Ovis aries: one gene and its partner. Each later gene encodes a partner of the first gene's protein in a complex. Links are inferred from orthologs where the notes say so. Each region holds a gene or a part of one and is shown on either strand. Other genes may lie near its edges.

Evidence for each region.
Region 2: the proteins of CSF3R (region 1) and CSF3 are in contact, whole or in part, in a crystal structure (PDB 2D9Q), measured with the Homo sapiens proteins. The link is inferred for Ovis aries from reciprocal best matches to the Homo sapiens genes CSF3R and CSF3. Residues at the interface, in NP_000751.1 of Homo sapiens: Arg164, Arg190, Lys191, Leu193, Leu194, Leu195, Tyr196, Gln197, Asp220, Met222, His261, Ile262, Asn263, Arg311, Pro313, Leu314; in NP_000750.1 of Homo sapiens: Ser42, Leu45, Lys46, Glu49, Gln50, Arg52, Lys53, Leu141, Asp142, Asp145, Thr148, Thr149, Gln152.

Annotation. Positions count from the first base shown.
Region 1 is NC_056054.1:11,307,004-11,317,207, reverse strand, and holds the start of CSF3R (granulocyte colony-stimulating factor receptor), read left to right. Parts: upstream 1-3,419; 5' UTR 3,420-3,497; intron 3,498-4,763; exon of another isoform or gene 4,764-4,818; intron 4,819-6,639; 5' UTR 6,640-6,659; coding exon 6,660-6,723; intron 6,724-8,963; coding exon 8,964-9,260; intron 9,261-10,204. UniProt on the Homo sapiens protein: Receptor for granulocyte colony-stimulating factor (CSF3), essential for granulocytic maturation. Plays a crucial role in the proliferation, differentiation and survival of cells along the neutrophilic lineage.
Region 2 is NC_056064.1:40,076,209-40,086,694, reverse strand, and holds CSF3 (granulocyte colony-stimulating factor), read right to left. Parts: upstream 5,460-10,486; 5' UTR 5,341-5,459; coding exon 5,328-5,340; intron 5,226-5,327; coding exon 5,071-5,225; intron 4,688-5,070; coding exon 4,580-4,687; intron 4,435-4,579; coding exon 4,288-4,434; intron 4,087-4,287; coding exon 3,922-4,086; 3' UTR 3,112-3,921; downstream 1-3,111. Other genes in the region: MED24 (mediator of RNA polymerase II transcription subunit 24), read left to right, coding at 631-711, 981-1,129, 1,290-1,406. UniProt on the Homo sapiens protein: Granulocyte/macrophage colony-stimulating factors are cytokines that act in hematopoiesis by controlling the production, differentiation, and function of 2 related white cell populations of the blood, the granulocytes and the monocytes-macrophages.

The DNA of each region.
Region 1 (10,204 bases):
TACCTATCTACTCAGGATTTTGGTTCTAATATTTTGAAAGAAGAGTCGATGGGATTTGCTGAGCATGTGGATCCTATGGGGCACCTCAGAGAGGTAGCTGCCGACAGATGGATATTTCAAACTGGAACCAGAACCAAAACCCAAGTCTGCCCCCTCGCAACAGACTCAGAAGCTCACTTTTCCTGAAATGCGTCATACGGTGTGGACACTTCACTAGTGTGTTAGTTCAGTTCAGTTCAGTCGCTCAGTCGTGTCTGACTCTTTGCGACCCCATGAATCGCAGCACGCCAGGCCTCCCTGTCCATCTCCAACTCCCGGAGTTCACTCAGACTCACGTCCATAGAGTCACTGATGCCATCCAGCCATCTCATTCTCGGTCGTCCCCTCCTCCTCCTGCCCCCAATCCCTCCCAGCATCAGGGCCTTTTCCAATGAGTCAACTCTTGGCATGAGGTGGCCAAAGTATTGGAGTTTCAGCTTCAGCATCATTCCTTCCAAAGAAATCCCAGGGCTGATCTCCTTCAGAATGGACTGGTTGGATCTCCTTGCTGTCCAAGGGACTCTCAAGAGTCTTCTCCAACACCACAGTTCAAAAGCATCAATTCTTCAGCGCTCAGCTTTCTTCACAGTCCAACTCTCACATCCATACATGACCACAGGAAAAACCATAGACTTGACTAGACGGACCTTAGTCGGCAAAGTAATGTCTCCGCTTCTGAATAAACTATCTAGGTTGGTCATAACTTTTCTTCCAAGGAGTAAGCGTCTTTTAATTTTATGGCTGCATTCACCATCTGCAGTGATTTTGGAGCCCAAAAACATAAAGTCTGACACTGTTTCCACTGTTTCCCCATCTATTTCCCTTGAAGTGATGGGACCAGATGCCATGATCTTCGTTTTCTGAATGTTGAGCTTTAGGCCAACTTTTTCACTCTCCTCTTTCACTTTCATCACGAGGCTTTTTAGTTCCTCTTCACTTTCTGCCATAAGAGTGGTGTCATCTGAATATCTGAGGTTATTGATATTTCTCCCAGCAATCTTGATTCCAGCTTGTGTTTCTTCCAGTCCAGCATTTCTCATGATGTAACTCTGCATAGAAGTTAAATAAGCAGGGTGACAATATACAGCCTTGACGTACTCCTTTTCCTATTTGGGACCAGTCTGTTGTTCCATGTCCAGTTCTAACTGCTGCTTCTTGACCTGCATACAGATTTCTCAAGAGGCAGGTCAGGTGGTCTGGTATTCCCATCTCTTGCAGAATTTTCCACAGTTGATTGTGATCCACACAGTCAAAGGCTTTGGCATAGTCAATAAAGCAGAAATAGATGTTTCTCTGGAACTCTCTTGCTTTTTCCATGATCCAGCAGATGTTGGCAGTTTGATCTCTGGTTCCTCTGCCTTTTCTAAAACCAGCTTGAACATCAGGGAGTTCACAGTTCACGTATTACTGAAGCCTGGCTTGGAGAATTTTGAGCATTACTTTACTAGCATGTGAGATGAGTGCAGTTGTGCGGTAGTTTGAGCATTCTTTTGCATTGCCTTTCTTTGGAATTGGAATGAAAACTGACCTTTTCCAGTCCTGTGGCCACTGCTGAGTTTTGAGCATATTGAGTGCAGCACTTTCACAGCATTATCTTTCAGGATTTGAAACAGCTCAACTGGAATTCCATCATCTCCACTAGCTGTGTTCGTAGCGATGCTTTCCAAGGTCCACTTGACTTCACATTCCAGGATGTCTGGCTCTAGATTAGTGATCACATCATCATGATTATCTGGGTCATGAAGATCTTTTTTGTACAGTTCTTCCGTGTATTCTTGCCACCTCTTCTTAATATCTTCTGCTTCTGTTAGGTCCATACCATTTCTGTCCTTTATCAAGCCCATCTTTGCATGAAATGTTCCCTTGGTATCTCTGATTTTCTTGAAGAGATCGCTAGTCTTTCCCCTTCTGTTCTTTTTCTCTATTTCTTTGCATTGATTGCTGAAGAAGTCTTTCTTATCTCTTCTTGCTATTCTATGGAACTCTGAATTCAGATGCTTATATCTTTCCTTTTCTCCTTTGCTTTTCACCTCTCTTCTTTTCATAGCTATTTGTAAGGCCACCCCAGACAGCCATTTTGCTTTTTTGCCTTTCTTTTCCATGGGGATGGTCTTGATCCCTGTCTCCTGTACAATGTCACGAACCTCATTCCATAGTTCATCAGGCACTCTATCAGATCTAGGCCCTTAAATCTATTTCTCACTTCCACTGTATAATCATAAGGGATTTGATTTAGGCCATACCTGAATGGTCTAGCAGTTTTCCCTACTTTCTTCACTTTGAGTCTGAATTTGGTAATAAGGAGTTCATGATCTGAGCCACAGTCAGCTCCTGGTCTTGTTTTTGTTGACTGTATAGAGCTTCTTCATCCCTGGCTGCAAAGAATATAATCAATCTGATTTCGGTGTTGACCATCTGGTGATGTCCATGTGTAGAGTCTTCTCTTGTGTTGTTGGAAGAGGGTGTTTGCTATGACCAGTGCGTTCTCTTGGCAAAACTCTATTAGTCTTTGCCCTGCTTCATTCCGCATTCCAAGGCCAAATTTGCCTGTTACTCCAGGTGTTTCTTGACTTCCTACTTTTGCCTAATCTTTATTGAGTCATAAATCCAAGAACCTGTGAACAGTCTGAACCCTCTTCAGAAAATGCACAGAAAATTATTTGTAAACAGCTGCAGGGTTTTGTGGATACAGACCATGAAAGACATAAAATATAGTCTGTTTCACTCAATGGAAAACATTTAGTTTGGCAGAATCACTGAGAGTGAACATTATTAATGTCTCGTGAGCCTATGAAGACCGGAGCCTCGTGAGTGACCCCTGCCTTGTGCCCAGAGTCCGTATTTCTGCTTCTGCAAGGCCTTCAGGCAGCAGGGGGAACATGACGTGCAGAGGGAGCGGGGAGGAAGGTACCGTGGTCCAGAATTCCCCGTAACCTTGGAGGCCGCCCCTTGAATATTGGGAGGATCAGGGCCCCAAAGCCAGTGCCGAAAAGAGGCTTAGGGCCAAGCAAGCCTTCGAGCCAGGGTCTGTCTCCAAGTGATGCTCCCCCAGGGCATGGGGGCATGGGAATGGCACCCAGGCGGGTTGGAGCCTGGGCCCTGCCAGCCTCAAAGCTTTGAGTCAGGAAATCCGGAGGCAGAGGTGGGGGACGACATTGCCACATCTCTCAGCCCCTTCAAGACCCCCAAGGCAGGAAGGCTGCCCAGGCCTCACCAGCTTCCCTCCCAGGCTCCTTCCTGGGAGGAAGGGGCTGCCCGTGCCCGCGTCAACAATGCAAGGGAGGGAAGGAGTTGGGCAGGTGTTGCAATCGGCAGCCCCTGCGCCTGTCAGAGACGGAGCCATTAACGACAGGGTTGGGGACAGAAGCCCGCCTGCGGCTGTTTTCAGGAACTTGCCTTGAAGAGGAGAGCAGAGACGGGGAGGCCGGGCGTGTGCCCGGCCGGCCGCAGGCTCCAGCGTGAGTAGGGGAGCCCCTGGGAGGGCTGGGCCTGGGAATGATGGGACCCTGGAGTCTCAGGTCCAGTCCCTTCTCTCTGCCAAGGGCGCGTGGCCCTTGGTAACCTTGGACCAGCACTCCAGCCTTAAGAATTTACCCCTGGGAACCAGGAGCCCTTGACACTGAGTCTTTTTTCCCAAGGTGCCCCTACTTTTTCGGGGGGTGGGTGCTGCATTTGGGAAGTCACAGACAGACAAATATCTCTTTGGGACACTGAGCTGGGCTCAAGAAAGGGCTGGATTCAGGGAAAGTTATACTCATTATTTGCCTCCAAGTCTCTGACAGCCTGTGTCTTAACTGCTTCCAGTCTCCATGTAAATTTCACACCATGTAAATTTCTCTCTTTCCTCCTCAGCCCTTCTCTGGCTTGCTTGGCTCTGAGCTCCTGTCTGTCTGTCTCAGAGTCTCTCTATGCCTCTCTGTTTGTCTCTCAAGGGTCCCTTTGTCTCTTGAGTCTTAAACTCTGAGTATCTCTTTCTTCTCAGCCTCCGAGTGCCTCCGTCTCTGAGTATCACCATCCCTTGCCTCAGGCTCCTTTCTCTCTCCCCCTCAGTCTTTCTCTCTGAGATCTCTCTCCAGCATTTTGGTCTGTGCATCCCACTTTCCTACTTTTTCCACCTGTCTTTCTCTGTCTGAACCACATCTAGGAAGTCCTCTCCCTGTTCTGTCCCAGCCCCCTCCTCTCCCCAACCCTCTTCCCAAGAATCTTCACGTGAAGGGGAGTAGAAAGAACAGGGGAGACAGGGGCGTGAACTGGAGAAGGGGGAGGCGAGAAGGCTGAGTGTGATGGGATGGAAAGGAGAGGAAAGCAGAAGGGTGGTGGGGAGCAGGGGTTGGTGGTGCAGTGACCCCAGGGGACAACATGGCATGCTGGGACTCCAGAGTCCAGAGAGGGAGCAGGGATGGCTGGAAGCAAAGGGGGAGACTGGGAGGCCAAGGAGCAGGGAACCCAGAAACGGGGCTTTGAAACATGAAATGTGACACAGACAAAAGCGAGGTGGCAGTCCTAGGAGGCAGAGACCACACAGCTGGTAAGCAGGCGAGAGAGGTACTAAACCATGCTGGTTCCATGAGGGGGTGTCCTGCTTTACGGCGCATGAAAGTAACATGGTTATGGAGCGCTTCCTCTACGCAAGATCTGTGCTAAGTGCCCTTATCACGGACCATCTCATTTCATCCTCACCCCGACCCGGAGAGGCAGGAGCTATTGTTATCCTTCCTTCACAGATGGGGTAACCGAGGCTCAGAAAGGTGGAATAATCTGTCCAAGGTCGCCAAGCTGGTAAGTGGTGGACCTGGGGTTCAGATGACTCAAAGCTGGGCCCCCAGAAAGTGACGCCATGCTCCACCTGGTCCCAGATCCCACTCGGCTGGGGTGGGGAATATCCAAGGTTGCCATGGGTGACCAGGGACTGATACCCTGTGCCAACCCCTGGCAACCCAGGGAGAAGATGCCTGGGCCCTTGGGATTTGGGTTTGGGTTGCCTACTGGGAGCCCGTGGAGAGGGATAAGTGGTGCCTCACCAGGCAGGAGGGCTAGGAAATGATCAAAAATACATAGGAACAGGCACTAGTGTCCTGAAATCTGAGCCAAGGAGACGAACTCTTCCCCAACAAGTGTGCATTGGTGGATAGTCAAACCGGATGCTGTAGGAACAAGGTTGCCAACCACTAACTGGTAGACTGGGGTCCTCTGAACAATTGTGCGGGTTTCTCACTGCACAAAGCTGCCCAGAAAGTAGAGGCTGAAATCCAGCCTGTTCTCTAGTTGCTAGGTCCTTGTGTGGAGCTGCATTTGTCTAGAGAAAGGGATGCTTTTTTCCTGATTTGCAAAAAGATGACTTAGGGGCTAGCATCCACCTGGTATCCTGATACTGCAACATATAATGAGGGACCAGGGATTTAAGTAAGACCCCTGCAGGCAGAAACAGCTTTGGGTATCTGCAGTTATTCACTCCTCTGTCTTGGAGCGAAAGAAGCTTAATCTTTTCTGAGCACAGGGGATCGGTTGGGACGCCACCTACATGTACGTGTTCATGTAGGTACATGCAAAAGCTGGTCAGCGATTCCCACTGATCTGCCACCCAGACGTCAGTTAGTGCCGGAGGACCAGGTGTCTGGCCCCAAGACTCCAGTGGGAGCAGAGTGGAAAGGCTGGAAGCCACTCCAGCAATAGAAACCTTTGCTTACTTCCTGAGACTAATGTACTAATGCTCCCTCCATCTGGGCACTGTCGCCATGACCACAGGATATCTGGTCCCAGAAGGCCTCCAGAGGTCTGTGCCCAGAATTGGGGTATCCTCTCAACCCACCCTTCCCTTTAGCCATTGCTGTGGAAGCCAGCTTTTCAAGGTGCACCCTGTCCTCAGCTGTTCCGTGGGGTTGTCCCTTTCTGCCAGGCAGTGAGCGTTTCTGACTCTTTGAGCATGGCTTACCTTGGAGGACCTGCCCAGTACTCAGACATGTGCAATGTGATACGTGCCAGGGAGTTAATACCCCAAGGAACAGCCCTTGACCAACAAGGGGCAGGAACCGGTGGACAATGTTCCCATCCTGTCTGCCAGCCAAGTTCTGAGGCATGTTCAGCGTGGCTCCTTGCAAGATTCCAGCAGGATTGAGCCCCAGCTGTACCCAGTTTAATGATGTACCCTTGTGTTGGCTTTCCTTCTTACCCGTTTCATTCTCCCCTCTCCCTTACTCTGTTCCTGGAGTCTTCCCCCAAATAAACTACCTGCAGCCAAGCCTTCATCTCAGGCTTTGCTTTTAGCAGGCTGGGAGACTGGCTAAAACAGAAGGGAACGGGAAGAATGCTGTTCCCTGTGGCTCCCTTCCCTGCTCTCTCCTTAAAGGCACATATAAGAATAACAGTCATTTAAGAGTCATTTCCTATGTGCCAGGTACCGTGCGATGCCCTTGACTTGCATCATTTTGGGTCTTCCTCCCCAGACCCTATGCAGTATAGGTTTTTGTTACCTTCATTTTGCAGAGCAACCAGGTTCAGAGAGGTCAAGTAACCTGGCTGAAGCCACACCGTAGCAGAGCAAAGACTAAGCTCAGCTCTGACTCCAAAGCCCATGACCTTCACCACCCTCTCTGTCTCCAGGTGAGGACCAAGCCAGCACGATGGTGGGGCTGGGAGCCTGGAGCCTGGTGGGAGCTGCTCTGATCATCCTGCTGCTCCCCAGAAGTGAGTGTGGTCAGGGATGAGGGTGCCATGGGGTGGGGGGATCACAGGGAGAGATGCTGGGGATGGAGGAGGGGGTCATTTCCCTGCATTGTCACAGTGCTCCTGGGGTTCCCAGAGAATCGACTGGGCCACAGATGCAGGGTAGCTGGGCTCCCACACACAGACCTCTGCCAGCAAACCACCACCTCTGAGGAAAGGTGAGAGGACCTGGGCTAGCCAGCGTGGGGAAGGTGCAAAAGACCCAGGTCTTGTCTGCAAATCTCTACTGGGTTGTGTCTGAGTCCTGTGCAGCCTTCGTGGGCTGTAGAGGGATCAGGGTGGAAGCCGTGAAAAGGCAGGTTTAATCCTTAAGCAAGAAATCTCCAGGACTTCCCTGGCTTCCCTGTCGGAGTCCCCAGTGGTTAGGACTCCGTACTTGCACTGCAGGGGGCACAGGTTCAATTCCTGGTCATGGAACTAAGATCCAACACGCCACATGGTGCTGCCAAAAAAATAATAATAATTTTTTTTAAAAAATGAATCCCAGGCACAGCTCTCCAGACTATGGAGACTATCTTGAGAGGTGCAGAGCCTCCCATCTCTAGGGGTATGCAAGCCAAGGCCCAACAGGGGTCAGCAAACTTTGACGTCATTTTCAGCTTTGCAGGCCACATACAGTCTCTGTGGCATGTTCTTGCTTATTTGTTGTTTGGTTTGGCTTTTCACCCTCTAGAAATATAAAAAGTGTTCTCAGCTGGCAAGCCATACAAAACAGATCATCCTAGCCCTGTGGTAGAGGACTTGGTATTACATGGTGTTTTGAAGTAAACAGTTGCAAGAGTCCTGGTCTGAAATTCTGAGTCTGTGATGTGATAGGAGCCCTATAAACTTGCTCTGTGACCCTGAACAAATTGCTCCTCCTCTTGGGGCTTCAGCATCCCCATCAGCAAAATGGGCTGCAGAACAGCTGGGAGAGGAGAGAAGGCACTGTGGGCAGAGTCCAGTGCTTGTTCTTACTCCACACATATTCACCAAGGGCCTGCATGGCGCTCAGCTCTGGGAATGCAGCAGTGAGCAAAACAGCCAGGGATTCTGGCCTTGCAGAACCTATGGTCTAGCTGGGGGTACAGAGTAGCAAATCATCACGTGACTCTATAATTACGAAAGATATGAGCTTTGGGAAAGTTCAGGGGCCCTGGCATGGTCTGACTGGTCAGAACCCGGTCTGGTTCCTCACAAGATGCCTGAATGTCAACCAGGTGAAAGAGGGGTGGCAGAAAGGAAAAGGAGCACCTCTGAAAGGATCAGCAGGTATGAAGATCGGGAGACGGAGGGAACGTGGCATTTTCAGAGAATAGCATGTAGGCTAGAGGGACTGGAGCTGAGAGGCAGTGGTCTGGGCTGGAACCAGGAGGTTTAGGCAGGGGCCAGGCCACAGGGGTTGTGAGAAGGATCTAAGTCTTGGGCTGTGAGAAGGATCTGAGTCTTTAACCTAATCATAGCAGCAAATACTTACATGCCAGGGACTGTTCTGAGTGCCTTACGCATATTCTCACATCTAATCCTCCCAACATCACTAAGTTAAGGACTTTTTTATCTTCATGCCACAGATGAGAAAACCAGGGCACAGAAAATCTGGGTAACATCAAGGTCACAAAATTACTAAGCAGTAGAACCAGGTTCTAAACCTAGGCAGTCTAGTTCCAACATCCACGCTCTTATCCATCACAGCGCACTGCCTTTCAGAAGAATAATGTGCCATTGAAGTGCTGTGGTCATGATAGGGTAACAATCAGATATGAATTCTGGAAAGATTGCTGTGGCCGCGGGCTTCTTATCACTCTAACCATTGTTTCGCCATTGTTGGGGAGGGGACTGGTCTCCATCTGGTGGCGTGCTGGCGTTGGCTTGCAAGCACTGATTGTGTACCTCTTTTCCCAAGTTCACATTCAGTAATGTCAGCCTGGTAGCTTGAAATCAGCCCCGGTGGGAATATTTACACCAGGGAAAGCAACCCAGGCTACAAGCCAGGACCCGTTTCTCTCGGTATAGCAGGTTGATAAACATTTACCCCCACACCACTATCTCCATCTCAACTCGAGAGCCTCTCCCAATCTCTGCACACATCCTTGCCATTCCAGCACCTGCCCCACCCCCCCCTGAATCTTGGAGGGTAAAGCAGGAAGGTAAAGGTACTGAGTCTAGGAGGCCAGCTCTGCCAGACAGAGGAGTCACTTACGGCCCATTCTCTTCCACCCCAGGCCTGGAGCAGTGTGGGCATATCCTCCTCTCAGCCCCCACCGTCCGCCTGGGAGATCAAGTCACGGCCTCCTGCATCATCACCCAGAACTGCAGCCACCTGGGCACCGAATGGCGGATCGTATGGAAACTGGAACCGGAGCTTCATCCCAGGGAGAGGCAGCGGCACCTGCCGAATGGGACCCTGCAGTCCACCATCACCTTGCCCCACGTCAGCCACTCTCGGGTCCTGCTCTCCTGCTGCCTGCACTGGGGCAACAGCCTCCAGATCCTGGACCAGGCTGAGCTGCAGGCAGGCTGTGAGTCCCTGCAGCCATCCCCCCGCTCTGCCCCCAATGCCCTCCTGCCAATACTAATAAGAGCTATTCTTTCTTGAGCTCTTGCTCAATGAGTACTTTATAAGCATGATATCACATCTTTCCTACCAGTGGGTAGTATTACATAGCCCCATTTCACAGATGAGGAAACTGAGGCTCAGGGAGGGTAAGTGGCATGCTGTGTGTGCGTTAGTTGCTCAGTTGTGTCCAACTCTTTGTGACCCTATGAACTGTAGTCTGCTCTGTCTGTGGGATTTTCCAGGCAAGAATACTGGAATGGGTTGCCATTTCCTTCTCCAGAGGATCTTCCTGACCCAGAGATCGAACCCATGTCTCTTATGTCTCCTGCATTTGCAGATGGGTTCCTTACCATTAGCAAAGTTGCATGCTAGAGATCCCAAATTAATAAGGATGGAATCTAGATTTTTATCAAGCAGTGTGGCTCAAAAACCAGTAACCACTACTCCATATGGCTGCCGAGTAAGCCCAACTCCCCAGCCACAGGAAGGTGTCTCCAGGGAGGACATTCTCAACAAGGTGGGCATGCTCCTAGATTCTACCCCTACCCCAGTCTCAGCGTTCTGCTCAAACTGAGAAGGATGGATTTGTGCTGAGCCAATGCATAATGAAAAAAGAGACCAAGGTTCTTGTTTAAGAATCAATAATAGTGAAAATTAAGATTTACAGAGCACTCACATATGCCAGTTGGAGAAGGAAATGGCATCCCACTCCAGTGTTCTTGCCTGGAGAATCCCAGGGATGGGGCAGCCTGTTGGGCTGCCATCTATGGGGTTGCACAGAGTCAGACACGACTGAAGCGACTTAGCAGCAGCAGCATATATGCCAGGCACTGCTCTGAGCACTGTATGCCTAGTAAGCCACTCAGCCCTCACAATAACCCTAAGTGGTAGGTATATTACCATTAC
Region 2 (10,486 bases), on another chromosome or scaffold:
CCTCAGGCACAGACTGTGCCCTTGACTCAGCCCTGACCTTCCTTCCCCTGAAATGGGCCCTGAGGCCTGGAGCAGCCTGGACTGGGGCTGGACTGCTCCCCACTCTTCCTGTCAGGAGAACAGCCCTCCCCCACCTGCTTCCCTAGATGTCCTCACGCCTCCCTGCCAAGGGGTCTCCCGTGGTGTTTAGTTTTTCCTGTTTCCAGAGGTTTCTCCTGAGGCTGGAGGTTCTCTGGGGCCTTGAGGGATTAGGGGACCAGTGTGCTTAAGAAGAGGAAAGATGAAGGGTCTGCCACGCACAGACCCCTTGGCTAGTTACTTGGTTAGTGACTCTTGGCTAGTTACTTAGCGAATCTTAGCCTCTGCTTCTTTGTCTGTAAAACGGAGATGTGCGGATTTATCGGTTTCACCCGTGTACAGCCTGCAGCTTGGTGCCTGGTGGCGCTGACCTAACATTAGTTCTTCTCTCTTATCTGCTTGTGGGGGTGTCTGTGTTTGGGGCCCATGTGACTGGACCCAAGGACCTCTCTGGGTGGGCCCTCCACTCCTGAGGGGTGAGAGCTTCCCCTGGGACAGTGGTTTTGATTACAAGAGGCCATTTCCTCTATGCTCCCTCATTTGTCCCCACAGCTGACCGGTCCATGAGCAGCTCCCTGTCGGCCTCCCAGCTCCACACAGTCAACATGAGAGATCCACTGAACCGAGTCCTGGGTGAGGCCTCCCACCCTGGTTCCCGAGCCTCGTCTCCTCTGCCTCATTCCCTTCGTCACCTCTGGCCCATCTCCCCTGGCCGCCAGCTCTCCTGTCTCCCCCAGGCCCCCATCGAGTCCTTCTCTGGCTCGCCCTCAGCTTTCTTAAGTGCTTTCTCTTTCTGATGTCCCCATTTTGGGGACCCCCTTGGCACTTCTTTCTTCTCCCGGAATCTGACTGCTTCCCAAGCCCTTCTCACGGAATTCTTCTCCTGCCCCCCTCTTTCCTAGCCAACCTGTTCCTGCTCATTTCCTCCATCCTGGGCTCTCGGACCGCTGGCCCCCACACGCAGTTCGTGCAGTGGTTTATGGAAGAGTGCGTGGACTGCCTGGAGCAGGGCGGCCGAGGCAGCATCCTGCAGTTCATGCCCTTCACCACCGTGAGTGTCCCACCCCTGCGGGCCCCAGCCGGCCCCCTCTAGCTCAGAGCGGGTCAGCAAGTCTCAGGAGAGCTCAGGGTCCAGTGGCCAGTGGGGAGGGGCTTGTTCCCCCAGACATCACGCCCACCACCACCCCGCTCAGCAGCTGTCTGTCTGACAGGTATCAGAACTGGTGAAGGTGTCGGCCATGTCCAGCCCCAAGGTGGTTCTGGCCATCACGGACCTCAGCCTGCCCCTGGGCCGCCAGGTGGCCGCCAAAGCCATCGCCGCCCTCTGAGGGGCCTGGGGTGGCCACGGGGGCTGGCGGGAGCGTTCCAGCCCTGTGCGCCTCAGAAGGGAGCTTGCAGGACGATGAGCCATCGTTGCTCACGTCCACATGACGTAACCTCCCCCGGTCGCTTTCCAGATCGTTCCCCCTGCTCCTGACTTCTGACCTCCAGGACGGCTCCCAGTTTCTTTCATAATTTCCTCTCCCCACTGTCAGTACCTCATGTGCGTGCGCAGCCTGCTTCTTAACTCAGAGCAGGCTCTTCAACACCCCCGCCTCACCCCCACCCGCCTGCTTGTCCCCCTTCCAAGAGTGGACTTACCTCCAAGGAACTTTATGGGTGCGGGGTGTGTGTGTCTGTGTGTGTGTGTATATATATGTATATATATTTTTTTACATGAGGTGTGTTTGCCTCCTCTCAGTTGTAAATAAAGACCTCGTGGATCCCTTTATAGCCATCGGTGCCCGTGTCTGGCGTGGGCGGAGAGCACTGTCTTCTCCTTGGTCCCCTGCCGTCTGGTGGTAGAGGAGGCAGGCGGAGAGTTCAGGGGAGGGCTGGGCACGGGCTGGGCTTCCCGTGTTTGTCCACGCGGTAGGGGCAGGGCAGGGCACGGGAGCAGCTTCCCTTCCTCATACCTGCCAGCTGCCTCCCCCTGCTCGCAAAGTCTGATTTACTCTGCAAAGGGAAAGGTTTTGGCTGAGGGCCCCGCTGGTGCTGGGGTAGGGTGTCCTGTTCGTTCCGATGCTTCCCAGCCCTTCCAAGCCCCACCCAGAGTCTCACTGGCCCGGAGTTTCCTCTCCGGAGGAGGACTGACTTGGGGGATGAGGGGTGAGGGGGGTGAGGAACCACGGGGGATGAGGGCAGGAGCTCTGTTTAACCCTTCCTTGCCTGTGTCCCACATCTCCAAGCCCTGGTTTTTTCAGGACCAACCGCAGGGGGGAGGGCACCCTGAGCTGCACAGCTGGGATTCCAGCCCCCTCAGCCTGACCCTGCTTCTGAGGAGCCAGTGGGGAAGGGGAGTGGGAGGTGACTTGAGCCGCGGATGAGAATCTTGAGAGGGGACCCGGGGACTGGTTGGCTATCTGGGTGTCCTGGGTCTGGTGGTAGCAGCCCAGAAGCACATGTGCCTCCTTGGCCGAGAGGTCTGCCTCGGACCTGTGCTGTGAAGCGGCCCCTCCAGCCTCCCCAGATGTGAGTTCAGGCTGCGGGCTCCCCGCCAGGTCAGAAGCAGAGCTCAACGAGGGAGAGAAGCGCAGAGCCTGGAATTTGGGGTCTGATCCAAGCTGTCGCCCTGACTTCAGCTCCCTGGTCTGTAAAAGGCCCTTCATAATCCTATCTTTATGGGCAGCTGTGAGCACAGGAGGGGGAAGGTTTATGGAAGGTGGTAGACCGAAGCGAATACTAAATCCTCCTCGCATCAGGCCCACGTCCATCTGCGTCTGGACTGTTGAGCACCGCCAGCCCACTCTCTCCTCTCCCGGTACTGCTGACCCATCTGCTTCCTGTCCAGCCACTAGGCCGTGGCTCCTCGAGGGCAGGGACCACGCCTGCCTCATTAACTCCGCGCCCAGCACCCGGCCTGGCGTCTATGCCAAGTGGGTGTCAAGGAATGACCGTACCTCCTCTTCCCTCCCTTGGGCCTCGCCCGCCATTCAACTCCCCACCCGCAACCCCTGGCCAGGCACCAGCTGGACTCAAGAAGGAGGAAGGCCATTTACTGGAGACAAACACTTTATTATCGTGAAGTTTGGCTACAGGGAGAAAGTGGGGGCCGGGGTGGAAAGTGAACAGTTGAGTGTTTCTCTCTCACCTCGTCACACAAGCCCCCTCATCTTTCCTTTCCATGTTCCCAGTCTCACCCAGCAAGGCAGAGACACACGACCATCTGCCTAGCCCGAAAGAGAGTCAGAATCCTGACCCCAACCCCGGTGGGTTGGAGCAAGGTCATGAGCCTCATGGCGTCTATAGCGCATCCAGAAAAACAAGAGGCGTCACTGATGCCTGGGCTCCCCACACGAGGAGTCAAAATGTGCCTGAAAAAAGTCTTAAAAAGAAGAAGTTTCCCCAGCAAATTCATGGGACCCCAGGGTCAAGCATCCCACTCCAGCTGCCTCTGCTGGGCTTCATGCCCGAATGCAGGGCTGGAGCCAGGGGGCAAGGACCCAGTCGGGGAACACTGCTGTTTAAATATTAAACAGGGCTGTCTCGTCTCCCACCTGGGAGACTTCCCGATGCTTCCAAGGGCCCCGAGGAGGGCACCCTCAGGGTAGGGGTTCACTGCAGCTTTCCCCAGAACCCACAGCGGAGCCAGACCTGGAGCAGCTACAAGAAGTAATACTTGGTATTTACCAACTCCCTCCCAGTCCCAGTACACAAGACGGGGAGTTTTCCCCACATGGAGGTGGAAGGAAGGACCCAGGAGCCTGGGGCTCCTTTCTGTGCTTCCCTGTCTTTAAATATTAGATTTAAATAAGCATAAATATTAAATACAGAGATAAATACACAAGAGGGGAAGAGCTGTGCTCAGGGCTCGGCAAGGTAGCGCAGGCCACGGTATGCCAGCCCCAGGAAACGCTGCAGCTGGGAAGCAACCAGGACTCCTCCTGCTCGGCGCTGGAAGGCCGACGTGAAGGTCGGCATGGTGCCCTGGGTGGGCTGCACAGCAGGGGCCACCCCCAGGTCCTCCATCTGTGGGGGAAGATGAGGTCAGCAGTCAGGGCAAGTTGGCACAGGGAGGGAAGGCCGGGGGCTGATGGGCTGTGGAAGATCCAGGGTTCACAGTGGAGCCAGGACAAGAACCAGGTCCAGGGACTTGGCTCCGCCCTAGAGAACTCCAGGGCCCCAGGCTTGCAGCACTACCTTTGGGGACCAGCTCCCAACGAGACTCACCTGCAGCCAGATGTTGGTGGCAAAGTCGGTGACGTCCAGCTGCAGTGTGTCCAAGGTGGGAGCCAACTCTGGGGAGATGCCCGCCAGGGCCTGCAGGAGGCCCTGGTAGAGAAAGAGGCCGCCGTGCAGTTGGTCTAGGCAGCTCGTCTGGGGGGTCGGGTGGGAGAGTCAGGGGACGCCGCCTGGGATGCTCCCCTCAGGGCCCCTGCGTGGAGCCTAGAGAACTGGGGAGCCTTCCAGGTCAGCCTACCCTTCCGCCCCCTCATCTCCCTTCTCCCCTTGGGACACTCACCAGCTGCAGGGACTGGCTGGAGCAGCTGCTTAGGGGAGCCTGGGGGATGCCCAGAGAGTGCCCGAGCAGTACCAGCTCCTCCGGGTGGCACAGCTTGTGGGTGGCACACTGCGGTGGGAGGGATGCTGGGTGAGGGGCCAGCTCCTCCTCCTCCCCGAGCGCCCCCACCTCTCCACCCCCACATCTCCGCCTCCCCACCCGTCCTGCCAGGCTTCTCAGCCCCCTTCTTCCATCCAAGCTCCCAGCCGACCCTTCCCAGCACTAGAGGCTCTTCCCCCAGTTCCTCGCCAGCCGCCCTCCGGGCTGGGCCTCTCCTGATTCTCCTTTTCCCCCAGTGTCTTCTCTCACCGTGTGTCCCTTCCTGCTGCCCTTTCCCACGCTGCCCTTCAGCCCTGCTCTCTCCCTCAGCTCCCCCCCTGCGCCTCCTTCCCTCCCTGCCCTGCTACAGCATCTGTCCCCTCCCTGTCCCCACGCTGGCCTCCCTCACTCACCAGCCTCTCCTGCAGCTCGGCGCCATCAGCCTGGATTTTCCTCACTTGCTCTAAGCACTTGAGCAGGAAGCTCTGGGGCAGGGAACGGGCAGGGCCAAGGGGGGTGGCTTCGTGCACCGTCCAGAGCGCGCTGTGCCAGAGGAGCAGCTGCAGGGCTGGGAGCAGACAGGGGCTCAGGAGAAGTGCAGACCTTTCTGGAAGCCCAGGCATCCCTGCCCGCTGCCACAGCTCTCCCCTCCCAGGACCCAGACACTCACCCATCAGCTTCATGGGGCTCTGGGCAGAAGGCTCAGCCAAGGGTCTGGGTGAGGCTGTAGGTTCTGGGTTCTGTCAGGGACCAGCTCCGGGGGCCTTTATACTCAAGCCCATGGAGGCCTGGGAGGAAATTACCTGGTGCTGCGACTAACGCTTAGTAATAGCTTCCCAAGTTTTATGCAAATTTGTTGTCCAGGACAATGCAGGGGGGTTGGGACCAAAAAAAAGTGTTTGCGAAAGTTTTGTGAAATTGTGGAATCTCTGATTCTTCTTTGACGTCTTGCCCCCCTCAAACTCCCTTCCTCCCCTCAGCCCCACCCAGGTCTGAATTGCCCCAGAGTGTTTGAACTAAACCTCTGAACCAAACTGAGCTAATGATAAAAGGCCGGGAGGCTGGAGTCTGGTTGAACCTCAAGGAAGAGGCAGGCCTGGGGCCCTCCTCCGTCCCTCCCTCCCCTGGCATATCTCCTGGGTCAGCCCCATTAGCCACTCTCTCGGGATCCTTAAGCCACCTGCTCCCTAGGCCCCCAATTTGGAGAAGGAAGAAGCTAGTTTCCTCATTTCTATCCCGCCAGGTCCCAGGCGATAGAGATCGCCTCTCTGATTGCCCTCTTGAGGGGCCAGAGGCCTGAGGTAGGGACGTTGGGGTCCGGCCGCCTGTCCCCACCCCACACTCTGATGGGCATCCTCCCGGTCTCCATCCTGAACTGATTAGCTGGGAACTCCCCAATCCCCCCATGACTCATCCCTTTGCCCCCGGAATCCTGGCAGAGACCAGAGGAAACCGGATGTCTGTCCCGGATGAAGCAAGACCCTTCGAGGCTCTTGGGTCACCTGACCTTGTCCCTCCTCCTCCTCTTGCACTGACCGCCCCCCACCCCCACCCCCGGCCAGTGCCTCAGCACTTTGGAGTTGAGGGTCTGGGACAGGTGGCTTCCCTGGCGGGGTTCACTGCCAGCGGGCGAGTGTGTGCTGCCCTGAGGGGAGAAGGGCTGGGGTGAGAAAGAAGAAACCTCCTGGCCTCAAACCCAAGAACCACGCGCTGTCCAGGCTGGGAGAACTTTAGGCGTCTGTTCCAACACTGTGAACTGGGTCAGTGAATGAAGAGGCTCGCCCAAGGTCATGGATAGCAGAGTTGGAGTTATAACCCAGACCTCTGCCTCCAGTATGAGCGTTTTCCATAGGCCATGGGGCCTGCCTGGGGCAGTGTGGCCGACTGCATCTGAGACTGTCACTTTCTCTCCCAGTTAAGCCCACCAGGTGCCTTAACAGTCTTGGGAAGAGGAGTGGGTGTGTCTAACTGGTCCAGGCCATCTCTGGGGTGGGGGTGCCCTCTGGTGGTCACAGCTGGCAGGGCCAACAACCATGAATCAATTCATGTCCTGCTTCTGGTCCTGGCCACGCTGGACAGCCCTGGCCCTGCTGGACAGCCCTGGCCCTGACTCTACCTTAGGCCAGGACACTGATTAAGCCTAGTTCTATGCCCACCTTCATGGGAAGAGTGAATTTAACAGAACTGTTGGGAGTCAGGGCAAGAGTTCTCACAATCATGCCTTCTCTCCCTCGCCTTAACCTCCAGAGTGCACAGCCCACCCCAGATAATGTGTTGGGCACTCCCCGTTGTTGTTCAGTCGCTAGATCTTGTCCGACTCTTTGCAACCCCACGGACTGCAGCACACCACGCTTCCCTGTCCTCTGCAGTCTCCCGAAGCTTAAATTCTTGGGCATTGAGTCCATGATGCCATCCAACCATCTCATCCTCTGGCACCCTCTTCTCCTGCCTCCAGTGTTTTCAGCATCAGGGTCTTTTCCAGTAAGGCAGCTCTTTGCATCAGGTAGCCAAAGTATTGGAGCATCAGCATCAGTCCCCCCAATGAATATTCAGGGTTGATTTCCTTTAGGATTGACTGGTTTGATTTCCTTGCAGTCCAAGGAACACTTCCTGCACATTGGCAAATGCACTCTTTTAATAAACCTTATGACAAAATTACCAGAAAGATCTCCCCCTTTACAGAAGATGAATCTGATCTTGAAGAGGTTAAATGACGTGTCCCAAAATAGCAGAGCCAAGGTCTGCCCTGTGCCAGAGTCTTCAGCTCTTAGCTATCGAGTCTCTGCGTTCCGCCTTCCTCACCTGGGACCAGGCCAGCTCTGGACCCAAACTTTAATTTTCGCTTACAGTGCAGCTGTGTCTGATGTTTGGCTCAGAAAATGCTGATTCTAACAAGGGTGGCCGGAATGGTGAAAGGACTCAGGATGCTGATTTGAAAAAAGCAGACTTAAAAAAAAAAAAGCTTTTTTTGGTGAAGGGGCTGCTCCTTGTGGCACCTTAGTTCCCAGACCAGGGATCGAACCTGTGTCCCCTGCAGTGGCAACACAGAGTCTTAACCCCTGGACCACCAGGAAATGTCCACAAACTGGCAGTTTTGTCTGGCAAAGAGGAGAGGGTTGTTGTGTGGTTTCAGGGACCAGAAGTGGGATAGGGAGTGGAAGCCACGGCCAGCCAATTTTCAGCTCAAGAAGAGAGTGTTCTAACTACCGGAGGTGTTGAAGGATGGGGTGAGCTGCTTCCAGAGAGAGTGGGACTGTCTGGCCAGGGAGGTGTTCTGGCCTCCATCCCATACGGAGAGAATCTGGGTGAATGCTGGCTGACAATTAGAGGGCACCTCTTATATGCCAGGCACCTTCCATTACACTTTCTTCTTTCATCCTATCAACCGAGTGTGCAGAATCTCCATTATAGACAAGGGTTGGCTTCAGAGCAGGGAAAAGCCCAAGATCACAGAACAAACTGGGGGCAGGATTTGTGGCCGCCCTTCCTGAGCCCCCGTCATTCTCATTACACTGTCTTCCTATTCAGAGATGCACTTCTTGGATGACAGCTCAGCCCAGGTTTCAGCCCCGCCCGTGAGAGAATAAAGACCAGGCAGAGAGAGAGTTACTGGTTCTGATACATGTGGGCTGGGCCAGACTGAAACCGTCTCTCAAAGGGCCTGGCCCCAGAGACCCCTAGCTGTTGTTCATCCTCCCAGCTTCCTCAGGGCTTTCCTAATTATTTCTCAATAGCCAGAGCGGGTGGGTAGCTTCCACTCACACTTCCTGTTTTCATCTGGAACTGGGGCTTAGAGCACATCCCACCCCCCAACCCCTTTATTTTTGGCCACGACATGCACCGCATGGGGATCTTAGTTCCGTAACTAGGGATCAAACCTGTGCCCCAGCTGTGGATGCCCTGAGTCCTAACCACTGGACTGCCAGGGAAGCCCCAGAGTGTCTTTATACAGGCTCTGGAGTAATGCCTTTGCTGCAGACTTGGCCTGTGGGCTGAGATATGTACACCCCAAGTTGAGAGTGAGTGTTACATTTTTTGAAATGGCTGGAAAAAAAAAAGAATATTTTATCACATGTAAAAATCACAACAAGCCAGTGTTCATAAATAATTTGTTTAGGACTTCCCTGGTGGTCCAGTGATTAAGAATCTGCTTGCCAATGCAGGGAACATGGATTCAATCACTGGCCTGGGAAGATCCCATAGGTCGCAGGGCGACTAAGCCTGGGTGCCACGACTACTGAGTCTGGGCTCTAGAGCCCACAAGGCAACGACTGCTGAGCCCACACGGCAACTACTGAAGCCTATACACCTAGAGCTTGTACTCAAGACTAGAGCAGCCACCGCAACGAGAGGCTTCTGCACCTGGAGAGCAGCCCTGCTCGCTGCAACTAGAGAAAGCCCGCTCAGCAGTGAAGACCCAGCACAGCCAAAAACAAATAATTTGTTTACATATTGTTTATGCAAGTCCCCTTTCAAGAAGGACAGAAGTGAATAGTTGTGACTGCGGATATGGCTCACAAGTCTAAAAAACGTACTGTCAGACCCTTTAAGAACAGTTTGCAAACTATGTCCACAGGACACATGTACAAAGGGACACACAGAAATGTCCTCTGGAATGTTGTTTGTAACAGTTGGCCAATGGCCACCAGTAAATTAATAAATCGTGGCCCATTCATACCACGTATGGCTCCCCACCCTTCCAGAATAAAAACCCACGGGGAAAGGAGTTTGTTTTATTCAGTTGTGTTTTCAGTCCTTGGAACAGTGCTGGGTGTGGGTTTAAAGATGATTAGACCTCAAAACCCCTACTGAGTGAAAGGAACTTACTTTCAGGTGATACATCATTTGCAGAGATTTAAAAACTCAAGACAATACTGTATGTTGTAGTAAAAGTAGAAAAGTGTAAACTGGAAGGCTAGCCATTGGATTTAGCAGAGTGGCTGTCTTGAGGGAAAGATGGGCTTTAAACTTACCTTTAAAGATGGGCTTTTAAACTTTTGTTATTCTTTGTACTTCTCTGTAGTTTTCTAAAAAAAAAAAAAGACTGGAAGGTAGAGAACACAGTGAACTCTCCAAGCATAAAAATAACACTGAATTTCTCCAGGAAAAGGAAGCCAAGCCAAGGAGGATGGATTACAAGAAACTTCCAGATGCTGAGCAGACAGAAAAATGGTCCACAGACTCAAGGCGGGTGAGAACCAGGAAATCATGACAAATAACCCCACCTCTGTGAACAGCACTGATACACTCTGATCCATTACCAACCAGGAAAGGGTCTGGGGCACTCTGGGCTGGTGGTGACTTCAAGATCTGTCATTTTGAATGATAATAATTACAACTAATTATCACACACTCAGAAAGAGTCATTTCATTTATTTATTTTTGGCTGTGCTGGGTCTCCGTTGCTGTGTGGCTTGCCTCTGTGGTGAGCTGCGGCTACTCTCTCACTGCGTGGCAAGCGCTTCTTATTGTGGTGGCTTCTCGTGAAGCATGGGCTCCAGGGTGCGTGGGCTTCAGTAGTTGGGGCTCTGAGCCCTGGGCAAAGCCTCAACAGTTGTGGCACATGGGCTTAGCTGCTCTGCAGCATGTGGGATCTTTCCAGGTGAGGGATAGAACCCGTGTCTCCTGCACCGGTAGGTGGATTCTTTACCACTGAGCCACCAGGGAAGCCCCAGAAAGTCATTTTAAAGGTCAGGCAAAGTGGTCAAGGGCCAGAAGGACAGCAATGTGAGGACAAAAACCAACCAACCAGCAAGAAAACAGAGCCACAGGCTGAGACTGGAAGGCTGCACACACCCCACAGAACGGGACCCTCACTTGGCATCACAT